Lonchura striata: one gene and its partners. The protein of the gene in region 3 purifies or fractionates together with the protein of the main gene of each other region. This does not show direct contact. Links are inferred from orthologs where the notes say so. Each region holds a gene or a part of one and is shown on either strand. Other genes may lie near its edges. The genes, in order: IMMT, CHCHD6 and MTX2.

Evidence for each region.
Region 1: the proteins of MTX2 (region 3) and IMMT purify together in Homo sapiens (co-immunoprecipitation; 5 studies listed by BioGRID and IntAct, counting the BioPlex papers as one, with this or other methods). This does not show direct contact. The link is inferred for Lonchura striata from reciprocal best matches to the Homo sapiens genes MTX2 and IMMT.
Region 2: the proteins of MTX2 (region 3) and CHCHD6 purify together in Homo sapiens (co-immunoprecipitation; 3 studies listed by BioGRID and IntAct, counting the BioPlex papers as one, with this or other methods). This does not show direct contact. The link is inferred for Lonchura striata from reciprocal best matches to the Homo sapiens genes MTX2 and CHCHD6.

Annotation. Positions count from the first base shown.
Region 1 is NC_134606.1:6,065,497-6,076,083, forward strand, and holds the start of IMMT (MICOS complex subunit MIC60), read left to right. Parts: upstream 1-6,440; 5' UTR 6,441-6,506; coding exon 6,507-6,551; intron 6,552-10,587. Other genes in the region: MRPL35 (large ribosomal subunit protein bL35m), read right to left, coding at 2,307-2,495, 2,733-2,877, 4,335-4,485, 4,592-4,781. UniProt on the Homo sapiens protein: Component of the MICOS complex, a large protein complex of the mitochondrial inner membrane that plays crucial roles in the maintenance of crista junctions, inner membrane architecture, and formation of contact sites to the outer membrane.
Region 2 is NC_134614.1:13,509,343-13,520,199, reverse strand, and holds the start of CHCHD6 (MICOS complex subunit MIC25), read right to left. Parts: upstream 4,864-10,857; 5' UTR 4,767-4,863; coding exon 4,677-4,766; intron 3,086-4,676; coding exon 2,956-3,085; intron 2,035-2,955; coding exon 1,980-2,034; intron 731-1,979; coding exon 604-730; intron 1-603. Other genes in the region: TPRA1 (transmembrane protein adipocyte-associated 1), read right to left, coding at 9,001-9,235, 10,313-10,393. UniProt on the Homo sapiens protein: Component of the MICOS complex, a large protein complex of the mitochondrial inner membrane that plays crucial roles in the maintenance of crista junctions, inner membrane architecture, and formation of contact sites to the outer membrane.
Region 3 is NC_134610.1:22,181,361-22,192,401, forward strand, and holds the start of MTX2 (metaxin-2), read left to right. Parts: upstream 1-6,511; 5' UTR 6,512-6,603; coding exon 6,604-6,643; intron 6,644-11,041. UniProt on the Homo sapiens protein: Involved in transport of proteins into the mitochondrion.

The DNA of each region.
Region 1 (10,587 bases), on a different chromosome or scaffold from region 3:
GGATGGATGGACGGATGGATGGATGGATGGATGGATGGATGGATGGATGGATGGATGGATGGATGCTTTCTAGGCCTGTGTTGGAAAGGAGCAGTTCTCAGCTCCCTTCCTGTTCCACCTCTGAGTGTGCAGGCAGGTTGAACACTTTCAGATCTCCCCTCCTAAAATCAAGCAATCTTTCAGCTGATGGTTTAAAATAGCAGAGCTGGCTTAGTTTAAAACGCCCCGTTTTGGGGCCAACTGCCTGAAAAGCCTACTACTATCAGTCCTGTAGGGCAGGCAGGCACCTCCGGTGTCTCAGAGAGGGCTGAGAGAACTCTGAACTCTGAAGAGAACAGGCCAGCCCTAGGAAACAGCCTTTACCCATCCCAAGGCTCCAGTGAAACATGCATTATTTTAAGCACATAAAATTGAGGCTGAGGGGAGGGAAACTGCAGCTGGAGATGGTCTGTGGTAAACAGGCCTGGGAATGACCTCCCCAATTTACCATAAACTCATAAGCCTGGAGCAGCCAAGTGCACCCATCTGTGCCTCCTCTCCTGCCATAGGGATCAGCATCAGTGCAGCTCCAGCAGTCACCAACTGCTGAATCAGGATCACATCAAAAACAAGACAGACTTCACATGTGTCCCTGTCACCCTGGAATGAATCAACCTAAAAACCTTGTAGAAGTGCAAACCCAGCACAGAAGGGAAGAGAATCAGGCAATTTATTCCTGCTAGGAGGGAGAAAGCTGCTTGGAGACGATGCTCCTCCTGTAAACAACCTGCTGCCTCTGGCTGCTGGCGAGTCCTCGTGTTGTGATGAACCCTTGTGCTCCTCACCCACAGTCTCCCTTTTGCTGTTTCAGGCACCTGTTTTGCATCCAGCACATTTGAACTAGCAGAGAACACGTTGGGATTTGCGTTTAGACAAACTATTTAAGGCTCATAATTGTGCACTTGGTGTGATTTCTTTCCTGTGATGGGTAGAAAAGTTCTGTGATACCATGGTACACTTGATGCCTCACAAGGACGGCCATTACAACAGTATTCCAAAGGTTGATGTTTTGCTGGTTTTGTTATACTGCTTGATATACATCTTGAATAAAGTCTTAATCTTTTCTTTATTTAAAAAAAAAAGAACAAAAAACAAACCCAAACATCTTTAGTCTGTTCAATGTATCTGGCAGGCCAGAATAATCACTTTGATTGCTGTATTATTTTTATCTGAATTCTGGCTGACTGTATATAGATGTATTCACTAAGTGCTGCATGTCCTTCAGAACTTTCTGTATCATGAACTGGAAAAAGAACAAAATACAGCTACTGAACACTGAGTAACTAGTGAATTCATTGCAATGCTACAGCCTTGTACAGCAAACCACCTCTGCTATACAGGCAGCTCTGGGACTGATAACCAGGGACTGTCTGCTCAAAAATTGGTTATCCTGGAATGCTTTAAAGTATTGCTTTCATACACTTTCTGGAATATCAGCTTTGTAGAGAAAATATCTGATCCAACCCTTAGCAAAACCAGGGTCTAGTTGATCTGCTCACTCCAAACAGACCCCACAATAAATCCTTGGGTTTGTTCCAGTTATGTGTGACCAGGAATGTGCAGTATGAAGTCTATTCAGACTTAAAGGAAAAATAAACAAGAAATTACTCTGACTTATCTGCTTGAGGATGCTGTGCAGGACACAGAGAATAGATTCTACTACTCAAAAACCAACAGAGGGCACAAAACGTGAGTCCTGTAATGAAAGCTGGTGGCCAATACATTTTAAAATCAGTTATAAAACCAGCACGTAGCTATGAAACTCTGGTTTGGGTTTTTTTTTCCCCTACACTTCCTAGCATGGACACAAGGCAATAGTGTGTTATTGTGAGAGGCAAAAATGCTAAGATGGACCCTGTCTCTTTTATCCTGTTCCCTAGAAGACTCTATTCAGTGAGCCACCACTTCGTATGGATACAGAAAAATAGATTCTGGGGTTATTTACACATATTTATTTAAAAAAAATAGGATTAAGTATGTTGAATTATTCACTTTTAGTGCTGTTTAGTGTATTCCTCCATGACAAGCAATCACAGGAAACCACCAGACATCAGAATGTGTGGGTGACCAACCTGACCTCTGCTAAGTAAAACAAACAGCAGATGAAGATAAATTTGAGTATTCCTTTATTGTGGGCATTGATTCTCATAACTCTGCTCAGACGATACGTACATGTTTATTTAAAAAACCACAGATGTATGGTCCAAAACCCAGACCATGCCACAGGACTGCTGCCCCTTTCCCAGAGATGTGCAAACCCAAGATTTCTACACACGGAGATTCGTGCGGTCGTGGTACTTCTGGTAGGGGTCATCAACGTACCAGTTCCTTCTTTTCCAGAAGGAAGTGGTCATTTTATCCAGGAGCTTACACTGTGTCCTCGTGCACAACACCAACTCCCTCAAACGCTTCTTCTGGGCAGCTGATTTCTTCCACAGCCTCTTCTTATAACCTGACTGTTAGGAGAAAACACACACAGAAAAATCCCCTTTCTTAGCAGGTCACTGCAAATACACAAACACAGCCACACTGCTCAGCAAACCTGGATAAATCCCTCCTCTTTCAGGAAAATGGGAGTCTCTCTACAGAGCTTGTCTAACTTCCACACCAGCCACTGCCCTCCAAGTGAAGGAAAACAATTTCACTTTATTCTGACTGTAAAGAACAGGCTCTCATTATCTAAAAAATCTCACCATTCTCCTAACCCAGAGGCCGTTGTGCAGCCGGAGGAACCTCTTGACCACAGATTTCACACTTTTCCTCTTTCCCTTCCGTGCGCTGCAGTAGGTGAGGGTCCTCACTGGCTGCTGGAGTAAACTTGGAAGTAGAGGTGTGACACTAAAAAAAAACAAACCAACCCAAAAACGGAGAGGGAATCAGAACAGTAATGAAACACCTTTTTCTAAAAGAAATCACTGCCTTTATCTCACACAGAGAGATCAGCAGAGCTGTGGCTTGTTTGAAGGGTAAAAATGACTCTAATATTACAGCACAGCACCCAATGGGTGCAGAATACCAATGTCAAGGCTGGACTCTTGTCAAAATTCAGCTCAAACTTATTATTCCACACAGAGAACCTTTTTTTTTATCTACTAAAAGCAGTCAAACACTCAGAAGCCAATATTCAGCTGTTACTTGGATTCAGAAATTACTTTTATAATATTAATCACAAAATAGTTTGAGTTGGAAGGGACCTCGTAAACCATCTAGTCCAAAATCCATCAGAAGCAAGAGAATCAGTAGTGATTGCAAGATTAAGTGTAAAATATAGCTGCAAAGAATATCCTAATTTAACCCCTGCTTCAAGCATTAATGGTGACTGAAGTGGGAGGCTCTGGGGCTAGACACACACCCACTGCAAAGGTGCCCAAGAGTGTCAGACTGAAGTTTATATATAATACATGTGTTTGTATGTCTGTCTATCTATATAATCTCTGTATGTATTTTATATATATATATATATATATATATATATATATACACAAAAGGGTAATGGGGTCAGTCTCTTTTCCCAAGAAATGAACAACAGGACAAGAGAAATTTTTGCCAGGGGAGGTTTGGATTGACTCTAAGGAAAACTTTCTTCACAGAAGGAGCTGTCAAGTCCTGAACAGGCTGCCAAGGGCAATGGACAAGTCACCATCCCTGGACGAATGTAAAACCTGTGCAGATGTGGCACTTGAGGACATGATTTAGTGCTGGGTTAAGGGTTGGACTTGATGATCTTAGAGTTCTTTTCCAACCTATGATTCTACAATATTCATATATATATATATGGAGAAATTTCAACATATACACTACACATATTGCATATTACACTATATTATATAACATGTATTGCATATAATACTACATAATTATATAATACTGCATATTATATTATGACATATAACATAGACTATACTAACAACACAATATTAATACACATGATTATAAATTGTATGTGTTATAGGATACATAATACATTCACAGTATATTGCACATAAGTAGTGAATAAAAGATATATTCCTAAATGTATTTATGAATAAATCTATTTTAATATAAAACATATTTATACATAAATACATTTAGGAATGTATATCGTTATATATAGTTATATATATATACATATACTCGAAATGTATAGTATTTAAAATTATTTCGATTTATCTGAAACAACATAATACATCTAAAACATGAAAAGTATACAAATAAAGATGTATATTAGGTACATATATATAAGCTATATAGAGAGAAACTCCCCCATATATATCTGAAACCCCTTTTAAGGGTTTTTAGCGCGGGAGAAGCCGCACCTGCTGAGCACCGAGCGTGTCCCTGCGCGGGGCCGGTTCTCGCTGAGCACCCGCGGGGTCCAGAGCGGGGCCGGGGCCGGTCCGTGCCCCGCGCACCGGGCGGAGGGGCCGCCGAGCGGCAGCGCTCGGGGGATACAGCGCCGCAGGATCCCTGTGGGGACACGGGAGAGCCTCAGCACAAACGTCCCAGCCAGACAGCCCCGGCCCCGACACCGACACCGCCCCGGTACCGACCCCGACCCCGCCCCGGTACCGACCCGCCAGGGCCCCGCGCGCCGCCGCCGCCGCCATGGCCACGCTGCGCCGGGCGGGGCCGCGCCGCGTCCCGCCCACGGGGACTGCGGCCGCCGCGGGGCCGGGATCCGCCCCGCATTCGGGATCCCGCACCCCAACCGGGATCCGCCCCGCATTCGGGATCCCGCACCCCAACCGGGATCCGCCCCGCATTCGGGATCCCGCCCCCGAACCGGGATCCCGCAGCGGAGCCGGGGTCGCTCGCCCGAGGGTATCCCGCACCCGAGCCGGCATCCCTCACACCCCCAGAGTCCTCCTCGTCCGCCCCGCTCCTTCCCCCGCGCTCCCGTCACCTTTAGTGACCGGCACACACCGTTGAAGCCACTAAAGTGCCCTGGAAACGCGCCAGGTGGATTTAGCTCAGTGTTTTTACTGGTTTATTCTCACTTTTTTTTCTTTTTTACTGGTTTATTCTCACTTTTTTATCTTCAGAAGCCTGGCCGGACTGGTTGAAGGATGAGATAAAAATGGCTTCTGAGTGCTCTGAGCGAGAGAAGGTTTATGAGCGAGCTGTGAAAGGTTACAGCTGTAAATTGTTGATAAATGCTTTAGAATGTGCCGCGTTACACTCAGACTGGGGGACGGGAGCGTCTCTCTCCCAAGGCTGAGCAGCCTCGGGGAGAGCTGAGAGGAGACCTCGTCCATACCCGTTAGTATCCGAAATTCTTCGTACACGGTCGGCGCTCGGAGCAGGGAGCGGCTCTGCTCGGTAGGGTAGGAGGGAACGGGCAGAGGCGGGTGCCCCAAGTGTCACCGGAACACGCGGAGTAACTCCGCAGCGCAGTGACCGCGCGCTGGGGCACTCCCCAGACGCCGTGTGGAGCCTCCCTCACTGGGGACATGTGAGAACCCCAGCCTTGTTTTGGGGCCACATGTGGTGGTGAAATTCCTCCTCTAACCCGTGTTTTCAAAGAAAAACTCCGCAGGCTTAGCTGTTTGGTCTTAAGGCAGTTTATTGCTAGTTATCTAACAGATTATGTTCTTGGACTGTAGCTATTTGATCAGCGGCTTGGGTAGAGGCACACACACACCTTGACATCCTTTCTATCTGCTGTTTTTTTCGTTTTTCTCTCCGCCTAGGGTTGCTGCTATCTTTTATAAGATATATTATGTATAACATGTTTACAATTATTTTCCAATACCTACTACCTACGTTACCAAGTGTTTTTCTACTTTAAACCAATCTGTGAGTGCCAACATTACTAAGAACATGGAGGTAAGGAAGAAGAAGGAAGAAGGATGGGTTTAGCCTACTTTCCTCCATCTTAGAACTTTTGACCCCTATGTATAAAGTGAAAACCCTCCTGTACATGTGTTAAAACCCCCCTGTATAGTACTAAAAAAATTTTCCTTCTACTTTGTAACTACTTTTACTATACTATCTAACCTTTTGTGACTGCTTGTTCTACCTCTAAAGTTGGTAATTCATTCCATGGCTTAAACTCAAAATCACAGTTGTTTTTCAGTTGTCTGCTAGGGTTTAGAATGCTTCTGACCAAGGCTTGGAACCTCTAAAAATGTCTGAGAGACATTTTGAGTTCCCACAGGGACATTCCAGCGCTGTCTGGCTGCAGTCCTGTGCCGCGTGCTGCGCTTTGGACCGACTTTGCCCCCATCCCACCTGACCCATTCTGTCATTTTCATTTAATTTAATTTTATTTTATTCTGTCCCCGACAGTCCCGGGAGCGCGCGCGGGCCCCGCCCCGCCGGCGTCGCGCGGCCCGTGCCCGCCCTCCCATTGGCCACGCGAGACCCGTCACGCGCGGCCGCCCCCTGGCGGGGCGGGAGCGCCCGCGCAGGCGCAGTGGCCGCCGAAGGGGGGGAACGGAGGCGGCGCCGGCAGGACCCGCGCACGGCGCCTTCCCGCGGGCCGCGCCATGCTGCGGGCGTGCCGCCGAGCGGGGCTCGCCGCGGCCAAGCAGGTGAGCTTTCCCCGGGGGAGCACCGCGACCCGCTCCCTCTGTGATCAGCGGTGCGGCCGGGCCAGGCCTGCGGAGCGGGGCAGTCCCTGTGACCGCGGCTCGGCGCGCGCTGAATGACTCCGCACGCGCGGGCCGCGATTGGCCGCGCAGCCTCTGACGGACGGCCGCGACCGCCAGCGGAGGCGGGGGGGCGGGCGCTGCTCGTTGCTATGTACTACCAGTCCCAGCGTGCACCGCGGCAGGGCAGCGCGGGACTGGATGCGGCGCCGCCGCAAGGCACGGCGGGAGTGTTAGTCCTTAGCGGGATGGCGGGGAGCAGCGTTGCTTGCTGGGGGCTGTAGTCTCGGCCGCCATGGCCGCGCCGGGCCCGCAGCTCCGCTCCGCCGCTCCCGGCCCGCACCCCGGGGCAGCGCCGGGAGCCGCGGGCGCAGCCCGGGGGCCGGGGGGGCTCGGTGGGGACGCGCACGGCCCGCCGGCCCCGCGCGGACGGGCGGCGGGCGCGCTCCCCGGCGGGAAGGACGTGACCTTGCCTTCCCCGGCGCGCCCGGCCGCCACGAGGGTCGGACCGGCCCCGGGGTGTGACACGAGTGGTGTCAGCGCTCGTGTGCAAGGGGATCCTTCTGTCCCCACGGTGGGACACAACTCGCGATGCCCAGGGCAGAAATGCCTGTGGGACTCGTGCTTTTTACCCTGGACCTTTGCCTCTGCTTATCAGCAGAGATAAGAACGGTGGTGTGCTCTGGAGCCTTTTTAAAGCAGTAAGCCAACTTTAGGAAGCCACAGGGATTTATAGGTGCGGGCGACTCCTTTACCGAGGCTCCAAGTTGTATTTCAGCTGGCTGATAAGAAATAAGCTGATTAGATCACTTTTGTGTCCTGCTTTCCATCCCAGCGTTCACTACCCTGTGTTCACACGATTTAGCAAAGGAGTAGCTGTAGGTTCTTCCCTCTAAAGCTCCAGCCTTTCCTACTGCAGCAGCTTCATTTCCTCTGCTGCTCTGCAGGGCTGGAGAGTCCTTTGGTCACCTGATGCCCGCTCTGGGTTTGCCTGCCTGTGGAAAGTTTCATCTGGAAGTTGAGAAGACAGAAACCAGGCTTTGGCAGATATTTATCACTTGCGCCTATTTGCATTGTGCTCAGCCTTTAGCAGAATGTGTCTGGAATGACTGTACAGCTCCAGAGCAGCCAGGGTGGTGCTTTGCAGCTGGAAGTTGGTCATCAGGCTATAAATATTTGGTGGAAGAGTCACAGAATGGTTTGGATTGGAAAGGACCTTAAGACTTTCTCATTCCAAACTCCCTGCCTTGGGCTGGGACACCTTCCACTATCCCAGGTTACTGCCAGCTCTGTCCAGCCTGGACATGGACATTTCCAGGGACAGGACATCCACAGATTCTCTGGACAACACCACACCACCCTCACAGGGGAGCATTTATCCATGAGAACTGTGCAAACACAGACATGCCACAGCACTCTCTGAAGATTTTTATCTGTACCAGGGAGCTTGTGGTGGAGACTGGGAAAACTTCATTCATTCTTTCTTTCCCTCTTTCCTGTTATTCATTTTTCCTACTTTTATTCTTTCTGTCAGCTCTTTATTCATTCTTTCCTATTGTGAGCTCTGTATGTGGAGCATCACTAAACTTGTAACAAGTAAATTGAAGAGGATTTGAGAGAAGGGGATCTTCATCACTTTCAGAAATGTTTTCTGCTTACATGTGCAGTGCTGCAGAGAGATTTTGCTCTTGTAGTATCTTTGAAGTTTGTTGTGAAAATAAGCAGGGCTTTTAGTAAAAGTATGTGATATTTGGCAGAAGTCTTGAATGATGGAAAATTGGAGTTCTGTGGTCAGATGTTCTTGTTGTACCTGGTCTCTGTCTTAATGAAGAAAAACTTCTCTGAAGCTTCTGGTTAGCTCTTTCTGTTGAAGTGCACAAATCCCACATTACAGAAATTCTGGATCAGGATGCTTGAGCCTCAGAGAGGTTGAGCTGGAACTGAATGAGCAGAGGATGATGTGTCCTGGCCATGGTTATTTGAAGTTACACATAAAGTATAAACCTGCAAGGCAAATTTAATTTGTTTAATGAAGTTCTGCCATGCTGTTCTTGCTCTGAGCGCTGTGCCAGAGTGAGCTCACATGGATATCCTTAAATGTCCTTAAATCACTGGGACTCATTAACCAGAGTAAAGGTGTGATGTGCCCTGCAGAGTGACTCTTGTGGTGATTAAATAGTAGGTAATGAATGCAAGATAATAGGTATTTAAGAAGTTGAATGAAACAGATATAATTTAGAGCTGCTGGAGGAGGAGGAGGAAGAAGTAGAAACAGCTGCCCTACAGTGCCCTTGCTGTAGGCATCCTTGCTGCGTCCATGCTGCCTCATCCAAAGAATTTGCTGTCTTCTGCAGGACAGAAAGTGGTTTGTTTCTGCCTTTTGAAGGGCACAGCAAAGCACATGTGATTAATTTCTCCAAAATTCTTTGAGGCATTATTACAAATAGATGACAGGGGTCTGAAAATTTACAAAGTCCTGGAAATTTTGCAAAGGGGAGATTAGAAACTACCTGATAATCTCCATATTATGGTGGTACAGCAAATAAAAGTAATATTATTATGGTGGCCAAGAGAGAGCAATACTTCTTTAAAAATGATGTTTTAAAAAATCAGTGATTTTTGGAGGTCTTAGTGTATCTGGATGTGAGGGAGGAAAAAACTGGGCTTCTGTTCATAAAACGTGGGTACCTACAGATTTTCATTTGCTGCTTCACTGGCCAGCTGTGGAAATTTGTTGCAGTGACTTGAAAGATGGAGTTGGTGAGGGCTTGTTTTGGGTTTAATTACTGCTACCTGTGTGAGAGTCCCAGTGCCAGAGATGGAGGGCCTGTGTTTTGGTTCCTCTCATCTTGATGAAAAATAAATAGAAGTGAGCATTTGGCTAATTCTAGAACAGTCCAGCTTGGAAGAGATCTCTAAAGATCATCTGGACTAAAATCAGTAATCCCTCCAAAAAACCCCTCTTGGTTGTATAAAGCATAAATGCTGAGCTAAGAGAAGCAGGTGTTCTCTGTCTTGGTGATTCCCTGAGCACAGCCTGATCCTGAGGGCAGGGACTGATGTTTGCTGAAGGTGTGGAGCCACATGGGTCCAGTGTTGTTTGCCATCACCAGGTGTGAGTAGGGGTTTTAGCCAACAGGGACAGGGCTGAGCTGGTCCAGAGGGCAAGTCCAGCCCGAGCAAGGATGTGGGAGTGACAGTGGTGCAGGGTGGGATCACCTCCAGAAAGCCTGGCCAGGAGCTCAGAAGTGATGGCTTATTTCCAGGGGAGCACCAGCAAAATACTTAATCCTAAAGTGTTGGAAGGGACTGGAATTTCAGTCTGAATTGATGCATAGAAAATCAGGGTCTTTTCTCATTTTATTGGATTGCGTTGTATGCATAATACTGGATTATTTGCTCCTCCTGTGCTTCATGGTGTAATGGGGACATACTGAGAGTCAAGTTTTGTTATGTTCAAAAATTGGTAACAAAATTATTTGCGAGGCTTTTATTAGTGAAATTCCCCTTGAAAGGACCGTTGACGCTTCAGGAAATGCTCCTGGGCCAGTCAAGTCAGAAAATCAAAAATACTACAGAATATATTTATTATTTTGTTGCCCTTTCTGTCCATCACAATCCAGAAAACCACCCACAGGGAGGGCTCCTGGAGGTCTCAGGGGCAAGAAGAGCATGCTTCCTCTTGCTGTACATGTGCTCCTGCTGCTAATTAAAAATGTTTTGGCTGCCTTTGTGGAAAGAATAAGAATGCAGTGTTCCTGCCTTTTCCTGTCTGTGCTCTTGGACAGGGATAGGACCTAAACCACAAGAGTTGTGCATGTTATTGCCATGTGCAAAAGGAAATAGAGAAACTTGTCTTTTGGGGTTATGTTGTAGTAAAACATCTCCCAGTTTTTTTCTTTTTTAAAGAAAAAATTCCCTCTTGGGCAAAATACCTCAGCTGTGGGAAAAGTTCTTTTTGTGCCTTGTGCTTGGATTT
Region 2 (10,857 bases), on a different chromosome or scaffold from region 3:
GCTGGGCAAGAACAAATTGGTTTGGGAGTCAGTGGTGTGTTCAAAAAAGGGTTTATGCTTTCTGGGCTCTAAAAATCAATCCTAGACCTTCCTCAAAGCATTGCAATACTTGACAGTTTTACAACAGCTGTTCTGTTACCAGATTTATAAAAGACTCAAACAAATGAAAACATGATTACTTTTTATCAATTTGTGTACATGCACTATTATACCCTAGAATAAAAACAGAGCAAAGTCTCAGGATATATCAGGTCAGCAGAATTTAATCCTGTATATATTGAAACATTTATTTCATACACTTGAGAGTTCAGAAGAGTTCTCTGAAGCTAGACAAGGACCACATAAACACACACCCCATACTCCCTGCCACTGGTAGAGCTGCACAGCCATTGTTCATGCCTTGGCAGCACAGAGTGACATGGTGCAAGTGGAGCTTGCAGCTGCACTGCGAGCCAAATGTTAAGTGATGAGTGAGGTGAGGAATGTTTCAGCCTAAATCCAAGTTTCTAAGTTCATCACACAAGTGACATTAAATGAATCCCCTCAAGCAGAGCCATTTTAGCCTGTGCAGGTTGGAAACATAGCAGGGGGTTTGTTACTTACCAGCTGGGCTGCTCTCTGCCTCTCCACAATAACACTGTTCCTTGCCTTGGCCTCACTGGCTGCTTCCCTTTCTCTCTCGGCCAGCCAGAGTAACTCCTCTTGGACCAGTGTCTGTTCTTCCACATACCTGTATGAGCATAAAAGAAGAGAGAAGGTCATCAGCAGACTTCTGGCAACATGGCTTGTCATGGAGTACCCCTGCTTAGAGCCAAAACACAAATCCAGAATCTATTTGACACAAAATCTGATCACAGTCCCATTATCAGCAGGAACTCAAAAGACCAACAAACTTTAAATATGACCTGGAATTCCAGTGAGGTACAGCTCTGGCAACAACAGCAGGCATAGCACCACATAAGCTTATAATTCTATTATATTTAGCTCTATTAAGTACTTAATTATCACCTGAAAAGAGTGAAAATAGGAAGCAGTTAGCCAGACAAATAGACATTGCTTTGGAAAAGATCAAGGGATATACAACAATAAAAGGAATCAGCCTGGCTGACAATGCTGCTCTTTGGCTCTTCCACAGGAAAGAAAAATCACACAAAATGTATGCAGCAACAGCACTGAGAGAAGCAGTCCTGAACCAAAAAAGGCTTCAAAGCCTCAGGTATTAAAACATAATCATAGAATAGAATCACAGAATTGTTAAGGTTGGAAAAGATCAAGTCCAACCATTAACCCTATGCCACCATGTTCACCACTAAACCACATCCCCAAGTGTCACATCCACAAGCTTTTTGAATACTTCCAAGAATGGTGATTCCATCACTTCCCTGGGCAGCTTGTTCCAATGCCTAACCACCTTTTCAGTGAAGAAATTTTCCCTCATACCCAACCTAAGCCTCCCCTGGCACAACTTGAGGCTGCTTCCTCCTGCCCTGTCACTTGTTACACTTGGGAGAAGAGACTGATCCCCAATCTGGCTACAATCTCCTTTCAGGTGGTGTAGATCCACGAGGTTCCCCCAAGTCTCCTTTTCTCCAGGCTAAACTCCCCCAGCTAGTCCCGAGCAGACCTGTGCTCCAGCCCCTTCCCCAGCTCCCCTGCCCTCCTCTGGACACACTCCAGCACCTCAATGTCTTTGTGCAGTGAGGAGCCCAAAACTGACCCAGGATTTGAGCTGTGGCCTCACCAGTGCCCAGTACAGGGGGACAATCACTGCCCTGGTCCTGCTGGCCACACTATTGCTGACACAGCCAGGATGCCACTGGCCTGCTTGGCCCCCTGGACACACCTGGGCTTGTGTTCAGCCACTATCAAATACACACCTATTATGCTCAGACTGAAGTAAAACACAGACATATGCATACATAGATATATTCCCAAATGAGTTAAACTCATTATTGTCTTTTTCAAGAGCTTCACCTCACCTCCTGTAGAGATCCTGCTCTGCAGCAGAGTCACTTGCCTTTGGTGGCTGAATTCCTAGAAAGGAGAAGAGAAACCTGTGACAACTAATAGTACTATAAATGTAGTCCTTCATCGCATCATAAATTGTTTTAGGATAATTTTTTATATTACTCATCAAGAGAAAAAAGAAAGGTCAAGAAAGTTAAGTTTGATGGATAGAGTTTGATTTTATGAAACAGACACACCAACAGCATCATTTTCAAACAGGCACACTGAATAAACCATGCTACAGAAAACTTCTATGTGAGGATATTAACTCCTGAAATCCTTATATATACTGAAATGTATATACACTGAGCATGATTGTAGACCTATTTTCCATTTCCTTCCTCTAGTTCCAGTAAGTCTTCCTCTTGACCTCCTTCTCTCCTTGTAATTAAAAGGGATTCCACAAGTGAAGATGAAATTGGCAGTTCAGGCCATCCATAAAGCTAGATATACATTCAGAAAAGACATAGGCTGACAGCAAACAAAACCCTAAAAGCAAACCCTAATGTCATTTTTGTCTGGATGCCTTAAACAAATCCACACTGCTGATATACATCACCAAAGTCTATTTGAGAACCAATAGAAATCAAATTGTTTTCTGACATGTAAAGAAAGACTTCACAAACCAAGTTTAAAGTTCAAAGTTCACAAACCACGTTGTCATCATCCACTCAGCCAGCTGTGCTTAGACAGGTTATCTTTCCCTATGAGCTTCTTTCCATAGAATAAAAAGCAGTACTTCCCTCACCCATGCACAATATACACAATATGCACAGCAGACAACAAGGCAGCTTGCCAGAAATTAAAAGCAAAATATTTCTGCCTTGTTTACTGCACGTTGATCTGAAATGCTAAAAATGCTCACAGAGTGATACAGACTAACCAAAGAGCTCCTCTCACAACGGGGCAGCACTGAAAACCACCAGCACCCTCTGTGACAGGCAGTACCTGTAGGTCTGGGTTTCCCTTCTGCAGCCAGTGAGGATGGAGCTGTGCCATTGGATGCACGGGGAGATCTCTGGTTGTCCCTTCTACTTTGAGAGGATCCTTTCATCCGGTTCACTACATCTTCAGTGAGCTGAAACACAGAACCAGCCAAGTCAGCTTTTCACTGCAGGCCTCCCCGTTTGTTACTTCCCATGATAGCACAGAAGCGCTCTCAGTTTCCTCACTGCAATTTCCCTCCAGTCCACGCAGTCAGCACTTGCATGTTGACTTTACATTTTTAAAAGCCATACCCTATCAGTAAGTGACAAAGTCTCCAATCTACTGCCTGACCCTAAAAGCTTCACTAGACAATCATTCACAAACACCAACAAAGGTGGAGACCATCCCTAAACAAGTCAATTCCTTGTATAGGGAAAAATTTACCAGAATTGGAAGGAAAGGAATTAAGCAGGTTTTAATCCATCTTTTCCTCTTCTTGCTCCATGTTTGCTAACCCAGCTCAGCATGGCAGCCATGCTGCAACCCACATGACAGACAACAGCCTCCCACCCACATAAGGCTACAAACACTTTTGCAACCTCAACTTCATTTTCACCCCCTGACTTGGGTTCAAACCCATGAAAAAGAAAGAAAAGTTAACTTAAAGTTTTCTGGCAATTCAGTCCAAAAGGCTTCTCACAGCACTGTTAAAATTTACCCCTTCCTCCTGCCAAGGTCAGAGGGTCTGGCTGCAGAACAAAACCAAATGAGGCTGTTCCCCACCTAGCTTGCCACAGTAGAAGACATATTTTCAGCTATACCACTACTACCCAACTTAATAGCATTTTTTGTACCATCAATTTACATTATTATCATGCCCAATTCCTAATTTTAAAGACACAAATCCTTGTCTATATCCTGTAAAGATAAAATAGGCAAAGACAATTTTACCTCCATTAAATACTTTAACAAGTATTTACAAACAAGATAGGCACAATCTTAGCTAACTTTTGTCAAATAATTAGTCAAAATGGGATGAAAAATAAGCAGCCACAACAACACTCTGAAAGTTCATTTCTGGCAGATTTTAGGGAGAAATCATATAAAAGGATCATGAAGCAAGAGCAATGAAAATTATAGTAGTAATAAAAAAAAAAGCCCAAAACTAACATGTAAAAAAAAAAAAAAATATATATATATATAAACGGGAAAAACTATTCCTTAACGGTAGCACCACCACTCTCTAGGGCTTATTTCCACAACACACACTTGTCAGTCTCCGACCGAAGGTGAAGAAGCAGTTCCCCGCTGTCCCTCCCGGAGCATCCCTGTGTGCAGGCTCTCGCCTCGCCCTGCTCACACAGCGGTGCTCTGCCCGGGCACCGTGAGCAAGGGCAGAGCTGTCTCCTGCTGGGAGCATCACGCTGCTTGCGCGGCACAAACGAGGTCACCGAGCAGCGAGGAGGGAACGAGGGCTGAGAGCAGAGCTTGGAAGTGAAAATAAAGAGCTGGCGTGCCCCAGCTCGACAGCAGCCATGCCCAGGCCCCCAGCCCTCTTTCTCACCACTCTCCCCATCACTTCTCCAACCCCCCACTCCTTCAGCCTTCCCGGTTCCACTCCCTTCGTCCCTGCTCCCCCACATCTTCCAGCGCTCCACCTCGCTCCCCCCACCGCCCGGCCGGAGCCCTGCGCAGCCCGGCTCCCTCCGCCCCCGGCCCCACGACACCCCCGGGCGCCTCACCCGGATGCCCTGCAGCACCCGGACGCGCTCCCGCTCATCCAGCCCGAAGGACACGCTCCTGCCGCTCTGGCTGCTCTCGCTGCCGCCCATGCCGCCCGGGGTCGCCCCGTCCTCGCCGCGCCCCTCTCCCGCACCGGCTGCCAGCAGCGCCTCTGCCCTGGCAGCGCCTGCCAATATACCCGCTCCCCATTGGCGGCGGCCGCGGGGCGGCCAATAGCGCGGCGCGGTGCTAGCGGCCGGGCGCGGTGCACGCTGGGGGATGTAGTTTTTTCCGCGAGCGGGCGGCCCGCCCGGTGCCGGGGATGCGCAGGGCAGAGAGGCGGCTCCGGGGCAGCGGAGAGCGCCGCTCCTGTCCCGCTGAGCCCGCCCTCATGACCGCTCCTGTCCCGCTGAGCCCGCCCTCATGACCGCTCCTGTCCCGCTGAGCCCGCCCTCATGACCGCTCCTGTCCCGCTGAGCCCGCCCTCCTCGCCGCTCCTGTCCCGCTGAGCTCGCCCTCCACGCCGCCCTGGCAGTGAACGCGGCACCAAAACTGCCCGCACATCTTCCGCTGCTACACGTCCAAGGCACGGCGCTTTGCCAAGCTGAGGAAGGATGACCTCTCGTCAGGCACAGCAGCTGCGCTGGGAGCGGAATTCACCTTGCAGCAGCTCTGCTCCAGCCAGCGGGGCCGTCCCCTGCCCTGACACACACGGGCGGGTCCTGCACAGCTCAGGCCAGGCTGATACAGTCCCCGTTGCCAGGCATGGCTGAGCCAACAGCCAGAACAGAAGGAATGAGATAATGCAACACAGAGGCAGCTGAACCAAGAAATAACAGCTTTGGAGAATCTTTTTCAAACAAGCTTTCTGCATTCCCAGAAATATGGGCCAGTTGGTATCAATGTGCTACTTATCTACTCGGCCCACTACTCCTCAGTAGTGCATGGGAGCAGTTTTAAGTGTTTAATGCTTATTGCTCACTGCGGTTAATGTGGCAACCAGAGCTTTGCCTCAGTCGGACATGGGCCAATGTTCAGGGAGTATCTGTGAGTCTGCACCCCCTAAACCCCTCTGGATATCCAGGTCTCTTCTAGAGCACATTCCTGGAAGTAGGGAATATTTTTGTTAATTGTGCAGCACCTTGTATGCTGGAGTCAGCCCATTGCTCAAGCTCTCAAGACAAGGGCACTGCATTGTGCAGTGTGAGCTGCCTGCACCCCAGGAACACCCTCACCAGCCAGGCAAGAGCACAGGGGCGCCTGAAGCTCCCTCACCCACCTCCTGCTCATTTCATATCTGCCACCTGCCCACTTCATTTGATGGTACCCGGTTTTTGCACTGAAAGAGCCCAAGAACAGATAGTCCTTACTCACCTCTTCTGTCCTCTCCAAGGGTTTCACAGGCCTGCACCATTGCTCTTCCAGGCTGGTGAGTTCTCAACCATGTGATTACCCCTCCAGAAGTCTTTCCATAATTGTGATTACTCCTGTCATCCTTCCCTAAGCCTTTCCAGGTGTACACTCCCAGCCAGGTGGCAGACATCACCTGCAAAGATCCAGGAAGGCCAGCTGGCAAAGGCAAACAAAGCCACATCACACCTGTGCCCATGCCTTTCTGCCATTTTTTTTTAAATCTTCAAGTTACTTTTCCTCCCCAATATGTCTCATTTAAGAAATAAAGCATGGCCATTTATGCCAAACTTAATTTTATTTATTTTACAAACAAAAATATACATTTATTCTATACTTTCTTTTCACCACCCCCCACATGTAACACACTTTGCTCAAGAACCACTTTAAGATGGCCCAAAGCATTATATATACATAAATACATAACAGGAGGAAGGTCAGTCCATGACCTAGTGCAGAAGCTCCTCAGCAGCAGAACATGGAACATTCCAGAAATTCTGGAGTCCTGCCAGCAAAGGACAGGATGGATGTTGACAACCTGCACAGGTGATCCTTCAGCACTGAATTCAGATGGTAAAAAAAGGCAAATTCATAACAGGCTCTTCACATCACCAAGAAGGGCAGGTAATTCCTTTCACTTAGGGTGTTGAAAGTCAACAAATGGGTTGACTTGGGTTGGAAAAGCAGTTGCTCTTTTAGTTCTCAACTGCTTTGTAATCTTCATCTCTCTTGACTCTGTCCAAGGCCCAGGGAAGCTTTGAAGGCTCCCTCACCCTTTCTAACCAGCAGCTCAGGATCAGTGTTGTGAGCAGCACCGGGAGCAGCAGCACAGCAATTCAGGCATCACATCACCCATCCCTTTTACAGCAAGCAGCCCAGCGTGGCTCAGGCCGACTGACAGCAGTGACAGAGGAGCACGGAACACTTCTCTAACGTGACAAGGGCTGACTTGGCAAGATCCTTGTCCAGCCCTTGCAGTCATTGCACAAAATGGAAATGTGAAAGGCTGTGACCTACAAGAAACTACTCACTCCTAGTACACAGATAGATGGAAGTCTTTTTTCCCCAGAAGTAAATAAAAATAAAAAAGGGGGGTGAAGGGTTGGGTGGGTTGGAGCATTATTTGTTTTCAAGGTGCCAGTGCTACTTAGAGGCCTGTAGGGAATAGTACCCAGGCAGACAGAGAAGCTGCATTGCTCATAAACAAAATAAGATAAGCAAAGGCCTACATAGTTTTGGCAACCAATATGAACTGCACGTTCTTACCCATGTTTTCTTTCCCTGTGGTGGGAACATCTGGTAGCAAACACCATTCCCTACCTGCTAATGATCCAAACCAACACCTCTACACTGCACCTTGCTTACTCTTACCTCAGTATTCTTCAGGAACAGAGTAAGTTGGGGCAAGAGATTCACACAGTCCCCAAACACTGCAAGTTCCCTTTTTCTACCATCCCTAGTGGGAAGCTGCTTACACCAGATCTCCACCTATCTGGTGGACTGGGGTAGGAAAGCACCACCAAATCTAGAGGAATACTTCATCCTTGGAAAGCACAGGATATCCCAGAAACCAGACTGATGCAGCCTTCACGTGAACAGTCACTGGATTGGAACACCACGTCTTGAAACTGCATGCCAGACAGCTCAGACAATAGGAGTCCCTCTTCCAGCACGGAAGAGGTTAATAAGAAGTACCAGGAAGTCTTTAAAAGGACCACTCCCCACATGCACATAAGCATTTTCAACATACTGAGCCATAAAACTTACTGAGAGCAGCAGCAGTCTGGGGATCTGAACTGCAATGTAAGGGAAGGACACTGCCAGAGATACACATCCAGCTCCCACTCTTCTCCCACTGCAGCACACCAGCCAACTCAATTCTAGCACACCTAAGGTGTTTGAGTTTCCAGTCACTAAATTCTGACAGCTCAGACTCATCATAGGCTTCTGCTCTGCCTCAAGCACCTGAATGTCTCTGGAGCCTTCATCTGCAGAGTCACCTTCCTCCTTCACAGCACTCTCTGAGCCCCTGCCAAAGCCATGAAGCAGGGTGCAGATGGAAAACACACCTACCTCACAGGTTTTACTCTTGAAACTCATCCCTGATTCAGTGTTCTTACTTAGACTTTCCTTTGAGCTCAAATGCACAGCACTACAGCTTCCAGAGACTGGTTCACAGCTCCTTCAGCTCAGCTAGACAGCAGCACTGCTTGTCCTTCTGTCTCCCTACTGTTCAGTCACTTCACATCCCTGCCGTGAGCTACCAGCCTTCCCCAAATGTTCTCTGGGCACAGAGAACAGTTCATTCCTCTTCATACCTCTTTTCCCCATACACTGAGAACATTCCTTTTAACCACTAGCAATTCCAACTCACAATTTTCAACAGTGTTAGCTGAAACCAAGGGTGAGCCCCAGTGACCAGCTTCACTCATCAGACACTATCACCACCTGTGCTGTTGTATTATGGCAAGGTGCAGGCAGCCATGCCGCTTAGCCCAGGAAGATCATCTTTGGTTTCAACCACCAAAATCTTTCTATATATGTACAATATAGCAGTCAAATCAGCACCCTCATTCCTAAACATCATTGCTCTAAGTGAGAAACAAGTGCTTTCAGTCACTGAAAAGGAAGAGGTGCCAGCCAGGACTATCTTCTGGGTCATATTCACATCAGGAACGTGGAGGATCAGGAAAGTTCAGTGTTTAAAGGTTTATGAACAAAACCACTCTACACTGTTCTCATGTAGCAACAGAAAGCGTTCTTCCCAAAAGGGTTTGGGCTGCCAACTTAGTGCCACAATAGGTGTTGGAAATCCTAAGGACAAGAGGAAAGCCATGGCAGGTAGCCAAGGAGAGGTTTCCAGTGGACATCCGAACAGCTGTGGTATCAGGGAGTTTGGAAGAAAGGAGGAGCACATGTCTGAGGTGCCCTGCCTCAGGCATTGATGGATTTCCAGCGGTCACTGTCTATGCTGTTGATGCTGCCCACGTGGTATGGCATAGAGGCCACGTCGTCCAGGTAGGCTGTGGTGTCAATCTGAGTGCTCGAGTAGAACCCAGAATCCATTCCTTCCTTCTTGGCAACAGCGTAAGGGTGGGGTAGGTGCACATCCACATCCTCAGGTTCATCCACCTGGCATTTGTAGGAGAAAAGGATCTTCGGTTCAGACCTGGAGTGATGAAAGATTTAAAATCCATGTGTTACCAATGTCGTATCACAGCTACCTATCCTTAATTGAAACTCATCAGTGTTAAGAAATTGTACATTCATACCTCAAACACTCTTTAAATGAGCTTTTGGTCTACAAATTGGTGGCAGAGTAACTGCCATAAAGTAATGCTAAATTAAGCTTTGGAAGAAGTCACTTAAGAGAAATACAAATGGCAGAATCCTGACTCTGCTGTGGGAAAAGAGTTCTCATCTTCAGGAGCTTTGAATTACTGAGGGCAACAGCACCCAAACACTACTGAACTCCACAACAGCCTGGCTACTGACACAAAATGAGTCAGAACAGGAGTATACTTCAAGCTCTACCTATGCACATCATGAAAACCAAAATACAAACACTTGTAGATCAGCAGTTTTCATCTTGAACTCCAATGTTGCCTTCTAATTTCAAAGGGATGCAGAAGTACATTTTTATATTTTAAAAGCACTTTATCTTCTTAGTTATTTTAAAGCCTGCTATTTCTCACTAATGACCAACAAATACTAAAGCCTACACTGAACCACTCGTTTCCCACCAAGGTGCATTTCCCGCGAGTGGCCACACGGCGGCGCCCCCGGCCTGAGAATGGACCTTCCCAGGGCTTTTCACTAGTGGCGTTTGGGCCACGGGGGAGTCCTCGGCCGAAGAGTTACTAAACTCCCACATCCTTTCTACCAATCTACCCCAAACCTACTCAGAAGACCGTTTCAACTCCCAGGGCTCGATTCCTCATTAAGCATTTAGCTATCAACTTCAGCAGAAAAGCTTTGTACTACAGACAGTGCTGATGCTGAAGAAGTGATCCTCAGAAATGTGTGAGGAATACAGCCATCAGATCTGCTCTGCATGTAAAGGAGCCCTGCACAGAAGTGAGCAGCAACGGGTCACAGAAATTCTTCAACGGCAGAAATTAAGACTGGCTCTCTAACTGGCATTCTAGTTGCTGTCTTTATTGTACAGACTGAGAGAACCTGAGTGCAAAACACTTAAAAGACAATTTATATACATACATCTAAACTCATCTTCCTGGCTACTCACCCAAAGAAACCTTTCAGGAATGCCACATAGATGAGAGGTGCAAAGAAGCTGAAGTAAAGGAACGTGGTAGCATCAACACAGCTGTCAACAACAAAAGGGAACATGAAGGGATTTAGTATTCAAGAACAATACAGCTAAGGTAACACCACTTACATCCTCCCAAATGATCCAATTTTCCTCCAAAGTGTCCAAAGATTAAGAAACATCATGCTAAACAAATTTAAACTGATGCAAAGCAATAGCCATTGTCATCAACATATGTCACTGCTTCTAGACACTCAGGGGAACCATGCCAAAACCCAAGGTCTGACCAAGAGCAGTCTCAGTACTCCCAATTTTGACTCTCAAATGTGACACTGATCCCTGCAGAACAAGACTCCAGGTATAAGGGTGTCTCCATATTTCTAACAAATAGACAATCTCCTCTCTTATTACCTACTAATGGCCAGACATTGGTGGATTCACACTATTACTCTCACTCAGCACCTCAAAACAACTGCAGTACACACAGCTCCACAACCTCTCCACTGGGGAGTTTTCTGATT
Region 3 (11,041 bases):
CAGGTTGTCAGTGCCATCCATCTGTGGTCCTGTTGTCTCCACCACCAGTGACCTAAGGCCTGCAAGAGAGCTCACCCATCCCAGAGGCAGGTGGCCATGCTTTCAAGAATTGAAAGAACATGGCTTTGCCCTGTTTTTCTGAAGAAACTTTTCCTAAATTTGAATTTCTCCTTATTTAATAGAAAGATGATGGTATGATGGCATATTTAGATGTTGGCATCAGTCACATCCAGACAGAGACACCCAGATCTGTGGTCACTACCAGCCTGCAATTTGTGCCCTGAAGTCTTCATCAGCTGCAGCCTGAGCCTCACCAGTGGCCACATGATGTACAAGCAATGTCACCATCAATCACTTACATTTGCTGGATTTGTCAGTCTCAAGGCTTGTTCTGCATTGGTCTTCTTTGCATCTAACTCTACTGATAGTTCAGGCAGACTGGCCATCTGACTCATCACTCTAAGTCTTCTATACTAGAATTAATTTAACTAAGCACATTTAGTTCTAAAACATCTGACTAAGAGGGTTTCAGATGCTAGCAACATTACTCCTGTAACTTTTGCCAGCCTCCAGGGAGCTGAGAGGAAGTAAGGGATTTGGAACATCATTCATACACATGGCTGTTAGCTGGACTAGGCTGGAAGTCAGCTGGATTAAGCTGAAATTTAGCTAGCCTGTGCTCTCTGCACACTTATGTAAACTGAACACGGCTCACGTGGCTCAAAATATTTCTCAACCAGGCATTCCTTTTCCATGTCCCAGTGCTCAGAAATATTAAAAGTGCATCTTATTTGCAAAATGCTCTGAAATCATTGCTGCATAATTTTTTATTTCTGTTTGCTCTGTCTCTACAAAGACCAAAGAAAACACCTGGTGCTTTTCTCACATCCTTCTCCTGGTGCCAGGAAAAGAATCAATCTGATCTGCCACATCTCCTCATGAATCTCAGGAGGTTTCCAGCCTCACCAACTGATAGCTACAACCAGAAAGGCCATGTGTTTCTAATGTAGATACATTCAAGTTATCTCAGTCAGCATAATTTTTTTCCTTACCACAGTTGTACCCTGGGGAGAAACTATGTCAAGTATGAACTTCTACAGCTGTAATGAAGATATGGCAAAGCTTTTCTTGTTCCTTTTATGGAACAAGACAATGATTTTAGATGGAATAAATTCAACTTCTGAAGTTTCTGCTATATTGCATCTACAGAATCAGTTCCCTGCCTCCCTTAAAAATACAGAATAGCACTCTGATGATCAGGCTATATGTCTAAACTGGAGGTGTTGGGAAAAAAACAACAAACCCCACTAGAGAAAACTTCTTATTTATGACATACATGGGAGAAATTATTCAGAAAATAAAGTAATTTCCATGTAAGCTTTTAAAAATAGGTTATTTCCCATCTAGAGGTAAAAATTTTATAAAATGCAGCTCTGCAGCATTTAGCTGTAAAAAAGGAAAAGCCAGTATGAACAATGGGTTGCTTCTATAAGGACTAAGTAATCAGGCAGAACCAGTCACAATTCTTCTGCTGAAGTGAAATGAACAGCATGAAAAGCCAAGAGTTAAGCCCCATCCTGGCTCAGCAGAGACAACATTCATGCAAGATCAGCAAGGCTCATGTCCCTGCTCCTGCATGTTGGTCTCCATAAAGCACTCCCCAGGGATGTGGAGGTTGAATGGGATGGCTTGGATCTGATGAATTCTCTACTAAACTTTCTTCTCAGGTGTTCAAAGAGTTCCATACATAGACTGATGAGAGGGTTTTGTAGGTGGGTTTTGGTCCCTCTCCCTTTCTTAAATTATGTAAAGGGTTTTGGTTTTATCCTGGTGTGGAATGGCGACACATTCCTAATCTCAAAAATCTTTAGGGACAAGTCAACCATTTCCTGCCCAGGTCTACAATAATTCACAGCACATCCCTCTTACAGCATGTTGCAGATAAATATTTCAGTACAGCTGCCTCTTCCCTCCATGCAGGGTGGGCAGTTTTGATAATTTCTACAATAAGAAGGAGAAAGTACCTTCTTTCTATGCTGGCCTCCAGAAAAGGATTTAGACCCTCTCACAAGGAGCTTTGATGAATTAATAAACCTCCTCAGTATTTACCATGATTGTCCAGAAATTGAATTCAATTGCAACTCCTTAATTTTCCAGATAACATCTGTAGGGTTTGAGAAGACTTGCCTAACCAGTGCCTACAGTCAAACTGTGAATCATCATTCTTATTTTCATTAACAAGATGGATCTAGATTTTGCTACAGTATGAGCTATACAAATATCAGGATGAACCTTTACAGACATTGCTACTGCAAGCTAGAGTCATGATTGCTGTGTTGACATTTGTGCTATTTGACAATGCAGGTCAGATCCATAATTTTAAAAAAAGACTTGTTGGTGTCTGGTCAACTAGGGATTAAAAAAGTGATAGACAAGTATGGAAGCAGCCTGTTAACACAGGTTGGATCCAAGGAAACCAAAGGCAGAGTTTGGCAGGAAGAGTAGAGGAAGACAGGGTGGACTGTGCAGTAGCACAGACAGGGAAACCAGGACAAATCTGTTGTGTTCCTTCTGGAAGCTCCTGCTTGCAGGTCCCTCTGATCTGAGATTTTGTTTAAAAGTCAAATCCTGATCCCATGAAGCATAAACTGTGTGAAGCCTGTTGCCCTAAATCCACCATTTGCATGGAGAAATAAGCTCCATGGGCAGCTGAGACACTGTCACGGCCCTGGGCCCCAGCTGGGACAGCCTCTGCTCCAGTGGCCCAGTGGATCTATTCAGAGCTCAGTCCAGGCCATTGCCCTCTTTGCCTGGCCACGGCTCCTCCGTATTCAGAGTCTGACCTATGAGCTGATGTCCCTGTCCTTGTGGAAGTGCCTGGCCTGGGCTGAGGGCACTGGGATGGGCTGTAGAGGCTATGTCCTGCCCACCTGCAGAGCCCTTCTGGGAAAACTCAGGTAAAGCTGGGAAGATCAGGGTCTGACTTAGTTATTTCAGAGCACAGAGCAAGATTCCTCAGCAGCTGCTGGGAATGACAGGGATATGCAAGAGCCTGGGGGCTGGTAACACCTTCAGTAAATAAAATAGTGAAATTTGGGTTTCTGAACAGCTGCTTTGATGTCTGCTCAGTGCAGCTGCAGGAATGACAGATGTGCTAAAGTAGGCCTGGTACCCCTGAAAATCTCACCCTGCTGAATAAAAGAATGCAGAAAAGGAGGTGAGAAAAGGAGAAGAAAATGATTAATCTAATGGCATTCATACAGTTTGTGATTCCCTGTTTGCTTTCAGAAATGCTATTCTGGTATCTCTTAAAACTCTAATAAACCCTTTCTATCTTCATGTAGGTTGCTGGAAAATTAATCAGCATTTTTTCATTTAGAATTAAGAATGCTTAAGTGTGAAGTGATTAATGTTAGTACAGTATGTATATATATGTATTTTTATAGACATATGTTCCTAGAAATCATACCTTATCTTGTTTACACAGCAATTAAACCCTTTTGAGCCTACCTGATTATGCAAATAAGAGAATACTGTCAGCAGCAGGCAATTCATTTTAGTATGAAAATTGATTGTAAGGTACACCTGAACTTTCATAAACCCAAATTTATTTCTTACTCCATCAAGGACACTACCACAAAACATATACACCAACTTTTCAAGGAAGTGCATTGGAGCTTCAGAGTTGTGTTTGGCCTCAATTTTGAATTCAGGTTCCATATAATGGTATTTCTTTAGTAAACTCACAGGACTGTGTGTGTAACTGAAAAATTTGCAACTTGGCTCATGCTTGAGTAGTTTTGGCACCATTCCTCACGCTGAACAGTGGATTGCATGAAATGGCTGATAGGCAAACACTTGCCTTAAAAGTATACCAAATGTCCTATTAGATCCATTTGACCATGCTAGTCTACATTCATCTGTTTCTGTTGGTCTGTGTACTTTGCCAGGTATTTAGTGTACAGAGAACCTCTGGCATGAAGTCATGCTAAAAACACCCTCCTGCTGCTGCCTGGCACTGGATGTGTTGGCAGGGAAGGACTTACTCAAGTCTTCCTTCATTGTGGTGATTTCCAGCAGCCATAATAGCTCTTTAAAGACACTGACAGGCACCATAATGCCTGGCAGCCCCTAGGATGCCCTAAATTACATGAGAGGGGCAGCCTGACTGTGGGTCAGGCAAGGAGAAGGCATTTCAGTGCTGTTTTTTTCCCCCATGGCTCTCTACTTCTTGGCCTTTTCTCAAAAATCCAGCTGTACCACACAAGGAGTCTTCAGACACTTCACCCATGTGCAAGATTTCTGCACAGTTCTCTTTGACAGAACCATTGCTAATTGAATCTGTGACTGTCAGCATTCCTCCTGTGTCTTGGAAAGGCCTAACTTGTTAGAGACCTGCTCCGTGGAAATGCAGAGCAGTGTTTTAGGCAGACATACCCAGCTGTGCACTGAGAAAGTGCTCTGATGAGGTCTGCTGAGCAGCATGTGCCCTGAGCTTGCTGTCCTGGGATGAAGAAATGTTATACTGCAACACAGATCAACTCTGCAGCGTCCTCTACCATCCCAAGTTTTTTGAAGAGGAATATTTGCAATCAGTGTTGGACTGGTACAATACTCTTGTGTCAACCTTAAACTGGACTTAGCCCAAAATGTGCTTCATGAACTTGAGAACTGCACATGACACCTAGCAGTGTTCTCAGTTTTTGAGAAACTAATTTAAATGCCTTAATTTTCTGGTGATTCGTTTAATCTTATCTACTGTCATCCATATGGCTAGCTAGACTGCAATTTGAATGGCCAACAATAGTGTTACAAAGCAAACAGCTTGAAAAAATGCACGAGAAAAGTCTTTTGTTGTAATCTCACAATTCCTTTTGTAAAGTATTCCTAGCAATTATATCCACAAAGAATTCATTCTACAGATAAAGGTATGCACTATTGTTAGCCATGCATTTTGTAAAATATTAACAGAGAAAAAGAGATGTTAAAAGCTGTCTAAATAATATTAAGGGAACGAATATAAACAGATGTTTTTTCCTAGGCAGAATATGAATCCTATTCAAGTTCCATACTATTTCAAATGTAATGTATGTGTGTATGTGTCCTAGTCCTGTTTCACCTGCAGTCAGTTTAACCCTAGCAACTAATACCTTACAGTGGAAAGATGGGCTACAAGAAAACTGAACTCCATCTCTTTGGTGTGCCCGTGTAAGCACCCTTCATTGAGGGCTGACCTTCTGAAATGCAAAGCCCAAGGGACAGTGTAATTCTGCTTTCAGTTTCCCTTGAAAACCCATCCTTCTCTGCACTGAAATCAGGGATTTATTTTGCATCATCTGCCTCCATTTCTGCATATTACATCTTTGTATCAAACCAAGCTCTACAAAGAAACATAATTTTTTAAACTGGCTGCTAATATATGGATTTGGCCTAGTTTATTCCTAGTTCAAGCTCAGCCTTTTGTCCCATGGCTTGTGTTTTTAGCCTTCTAAGTACTGTTGATGATGAAAGGATTCAAACAGCACAAACCAGCTTAATTTAGACTCTTGCAATCTCTTAGTGCAAAGCCACTCAGCTTCTCAAGACTGCTCAGAATTTCTGTAATTTCAATGCTATTCAACTTACAGCTGTAATTAGAAACAAAGCTTTAATCAGCACTTAAAAATATTCAGTTCTCTTATTTACTATTTTAAGTCCTCAGACCATTGTTCCAATGTATCTACTGACTCTTCTGCTTTTGCTACTGCTCTAATAGCATGCTTCCACTATCATGTGAAGAATATATTCAATATATTCATGTGAAGAATGATTCAATAGTAAGTGCCACCAGAGGAGTTTCACATACTTTAGAAACATTAATACATGCTTATATCCCATGTCCTCTGTACATAAAATATTTAAGATTTTACAAGACTGAAATGTTGTGCCGTTCTTCACAGTAGAGTAAGTAATACTTGATAAAATGAGATAATCTAATTCTTATTAAAGTGTGGCTAAAGAAATGAGGCTCAAAAGGGACTGCAAGATAATGAAACAAGTAATCCACGTATCCTTTATCTTCTCTGCAATCAAAATACCGGGTATATAATTTTATAGCATTTTCCAACACTTAGGTAGGCTTTATATTCTCGAATTGAGACCAAGAAATTTATGGTTGCTTAAAGGCAAGGTGTACGTTCCAAAAAGCAGTTTGTCTTCTGGAATTAAGACTCCCAACTGGGAGGAAGACAAGGCAGCTGTACCCTTCAGTTCCAACCTACTGCCCCGAGACGCTTCGGGAAGCATTTCGGAGCTCCGCTCCCTCGTGCCCCGGGGCAGAGGCTGAGCAGGCGGTGCCCCGCTGGCAGTTCCCGGGGTTTGCCCTCAGGCTGGGCTAACGGAGGGAGTGACTGTCGCTCCCAGGCCGGGCCGCTCGGAAACTCCCCGCGGAGCATCCCCGCGGCTCCGGCGGCAGCGCCGGGCGCGCAGGCCCCGCGGGCCCCGGCGCTGCGCCCGCGGGCGGGGGAGCCGCGGGGCCCCGCCCCGGCCCCGGATGCAGTCGCTCCCCGCCGGCGGCGCGGCGCCCAGTTCCTGTGCGTGCCGCGGCCCGCCGCGCTCCGCGACATGTCGCTGGTGGCCGAGGCCTTCGTGACTCAGCTGGCCGGTGAGGGGCGGGGGCGGGCGGGACGCCGGGGCTGTGCCTCAGTGCCGCGGCCTCAGTCCCCGGGGTGACCCTCGGATGGGGCCGCGGCGCCGCGGGGAGGGCGCTGAGGCAGGCTGGGGGCGGCCGCGGTGCCGTGCGGAGCCCGGCCCGGGTCGGGGACAGGTCCCTCCGCACGGCTCCTCCGCGCGGCCACCGGGTCCCTTCTGCGGGCTCCTAACCGCGGCTGTGCCGGGGCCGTGTCGCTACTTTCGTGTAATAACTTCTTCTTTGACACTTCATTTTCTTCAGTGGTCCAAGAAACCGCGTCATGTGTATAATTGTGGCGGCTGGCGTTGAGCCCCGCTGCGTGGGAGAGCTCGGTGCGGCGTTGTGCCCGGCCCGCGCCCCGCGGCGGCGCGCTGTGTCCCCTGTGTCCCTGTGTCCCCTGTGTCCCTGTGTCCCCTCCGTCCCCTGTGTCCCCTGTGTCCCTGTGTCCCCTGTGTCCCCTGTGTCCCCTCCGTCCCCTGTGTCCTCTGTGTCCCCTCCGTCCCCTGTGTCCCCTGTGTCCCTGTGTCCCCTCCGTCCCCTGTGTCCCCGCGGGGAGGCTCGGGCGTCTGACGGGACCTTTGCTCCCTGTCCGTGCTCCCGGGAGCCGCTGCAGCGGCGCCGTCTGTGCTGAACGTGACCTTGGGATAAAACCAAAGTGTGTGCGTCACTGTGGAGCTATTCAGCAAAAAATTATAATAATATGCTCTTAAGGAGAAAACCAAAGCATGAACCTTAGATAGTGCCTGGCTAGGAAGTTCAAAGCCCAGTTAGAGTGTTGCATGCTTAAAATAAGTGCCTTGGTTAATTTCTCCTTTCTTATTCCCTGTTCTGGAATTTTTGCTGCTAAGCAGCGTGTTGATAAATACTGACCTGTTTAGGAGGATGCTAGAGGTTTGTCTCAACAGTTGGGTCTTCTGCCACTTGGTAAAGGCCTCAAATTAAGAATCTGAGCTGGATTCTCAAAAATGAGTGTACCCTGACTTGTAGGTCATATAAAGGTGGTGGGTCTTCAGTCTGGGTCTGTTGAGGTTCCCATAGATAAGCCTGAAAGTTGTGCTAGCCTGTTGAGTTGGCAATTGCTCATACATAGATGTTAGCACAACCCGCACTTATGTACTGAGGGCCAGAGCCCTGGTCCTTGGGATGTGGAGAATAGGGTATTTACTTGCCTTTATGATCTCTTTAGTATATTTTATTTATATTGTGAAATACAAGGATAATGGTGTACATGACTGAATCTTGATTCTCCTGTCTGCTCTGCGACCTTTATGAATATTCTAGAGTGGCAGCTTGATAATACTTATTATTTCTCGAATTACAAATACAACTTCAAAAGCATAGTGTATGTAGGCGTCTCATTGCTGTGTTACTATAAAAGCTGTTGTTTCACAGTTTTAAAAGCAGTTATCTGCCTTAAAAATAAAAGATACCTTTGCCAGTGGGTCATGACCTTTGTAGCTTGTCTGTGTTAGGCACCGCGTCCAGATTGAAAGTAAGTAATGGCAACATTGCTCAATTTGTTCAAAGATTTTTCAAATTTAAAGAAGGCTAACCAGGATCTTGGCAAATAGCCATCATACATCTGGATTTCCTGCGATGTTAACACAGACATAGGGAGTATTTAATTCTGGTACTAAGAAGATATAAATATCCCCCAGATCTAGGAGTATTTGTGAGGAAGAAAAATGGTGTATCTGCAAGGAAAGAATACTGCTTTACAATGACACTTGTTTTAATAGCATCTTATCCTGTATCTCTGGTTGTGAATGACTGAGAATTTTTTCCATGTTCTTAAAAATGAAATTTTATTGAATTTTCATTGGGTTCCTGTTCATGAAGATGTCCTTTTGTCATAGCAGTTGCAACCAGCTGCTGCTGCTCTTAACATATAACAGCTGTAATGCATGGGTCCTTACATACAAGTATTTAAGACAATTAGCTCAGCATAATTTGTTTTCTAGAAATGTTTTAAAACCTTAGGAGAAGGTTTTAGTGGAGAAGAAGATCAGAACTTCCTTTTACACCAACTTTTTGTGTGTGTATTTGGATTTACGTATTTTCACTTTGCCTGTGCCTTGTGCATTCACTTTCACCATCTCAGCACAAACTGAAATACAGAAAACACCATCTGAATGTAAGAAAACTTTTCAGTGTGAGGATGATTTAACATTGGAGCAGATTGCTCAGTGCAGTTGTGGAGTCTCCGTCCCTGGAGGAGAGTGGAGATGGGCAACCTGCTGTGGCTTGCTGTGGACATCCAAGAAGTGCCTTCCAGCCTCAGTGGTTCTGTGCCCATCAGTTCTCAGCCTGCTTGCAGTGCTGCAGTAATTCAGCATCCTCCCTGAGCAACATGATTTACCTGACCACGCTGGGCACAGCCTGCTGCTCTAACGCGTCAGTGATTAAACACAAGGCTGAGACTGAATCACCTGTGTGGAGTGTAATGCTTGCATTAGTGGCATTCAGCCATTTGCTCATTCAGGAATATGAAGAAGTTGATACTATGTCTCAAGGAATAATAAATATTTCCATAGCTTCATGAGTTGCAAGCATTCATAAAAAAGAAGCATCACAGTTTAAATCATCCATTTCTAAACTGTAGAAATTATTAATTGAATAATATGATAGAGAATTTATTTAGAATAGCTTGGCATCAATCACATATTAACGGGATAGGAAATGAATGTTTATACTGTAAGAAGAATTAGAGTGCCAGCTTTCAAGTGGTCTACAACATTAATCTTTCTAACTCTAGTAGTTTTGAGAAGCTGACTGCTCAAATAATCTCTAAATGATTGTTGAACATACATTTAATTGATCACTAAATTACTCAATATGCTTTATTTCCCCCCCCAAAATACATTAGTTTTAGGTCAGTGATCAAAAGAGGGAAAATAATTATTGTTGCTTGTCCTTTGATCTCTGGAAAACTACTTCTGTTTATTGCTGTTATGTCCAAGAGTCTTAGGCTGGTTTTAATACTAAGGGAAATGAATGCAGTGTGAAAAGCAGGTGCCTTTCTGCCTTAAGGTATTTTATGTTCATAGTGAGTCTGCCTCCAGTGTGGCATGCTGGAGTACAAATAAATCTTTGACATGCATGTTTTATGTATTGAGACAGGCTTCAATCTGAGTGAGAAAAAATTCATTTGGAACAAAACCTGACCACCTAAATTGTTCCCATACATAAAGACATGATATTTAAACTGAGTATGCATTTTTTGCATCAAAATGCGCATAGGTAAATGTTAGTACTTCCTCCATGTGTGAGGTGAAAAAAAAATTAAGCTATTCTTGCTTAAAATAGGTTGTTGGCAGCAGAGATTGTTTAAACCTGCTGCAGAAGTTCTTGTAATGAAAAATTAAAGTTTATTTGAAAATACCAAATTTGTCAGACTACATGACAAACAGTGTTTTTTACATGTGTGCTTTTCATTTGGTAATCAAGCTGAAAGGAATCTCTTTTAAGTCCTGTTCAGTTTCAATAAGCAAGTTTTTTATGTCACTCCTGCCAATTTATGCTCAGACATGTTTCATGACTTGGTTTAGACCAATCCTTTGAGTGGATTGCTTATCCAGTCTATATTTTTGGGTCAGGGAAAACATTACTTTCACAATTATTGTAGTATAGTACATATTTCATTTTGAAATATTGTTATTCCTTGTTTTTAAGCAGCAGCATAATTACAGTTTATAATAAAGCATGCTTCTATAATTGTTTCTGTCTCCATTAAGACTAAGCAGCCTTTCTCTAATCAGCATTTTATTGTTACATGTTTTCTGCTAAAGTGTCTTCTTTTCTCATTCCATAAATGAGATTGCTCTAGAAATAATGGTATCAAAATTAGTAAACCAAATGTAGCACCTATTTTGATATTGTTCAGTTTGAATTTCAAGTAGACTTTCATTGGCTGATGAAACCATGACGAGTGGTTTGGATGAGAGTGATGTTTTGGAGCCTCAGCTCAAGAGGTCATAGAAAAAAAATAGCAAATAGTCAGAACAACTTTGGAGAGCAATCAGATTTTCCTTCTCTTTCTCACTCCTTTTTTTCTCTCTGGTCTTTGGATGCTCTATTCTTGGACTGCCCTCAGGCATTAACCTGGTCTGTTCCTATAGAGAACAGGATCAGGTGAATCACCTTTATTTTCAAAACAAGAATAAATGCAAGAGCTTGGTTGCTGTTTTTTGCTCTAGTTGAAGAGGCATCATATGTTGTACGCTGCTGGGCATTTTCAGCTGTCTCTTTTGAAAGTGAGTGAGAAACTGCAGCTGCATGCAAGCCATGGTGAGGACAGAGAAAAAGTACACACCATACTCTTCAAATTTTTATGATTATTACCTTTACATTCTGGTCTTCAGTTCTTAAGAC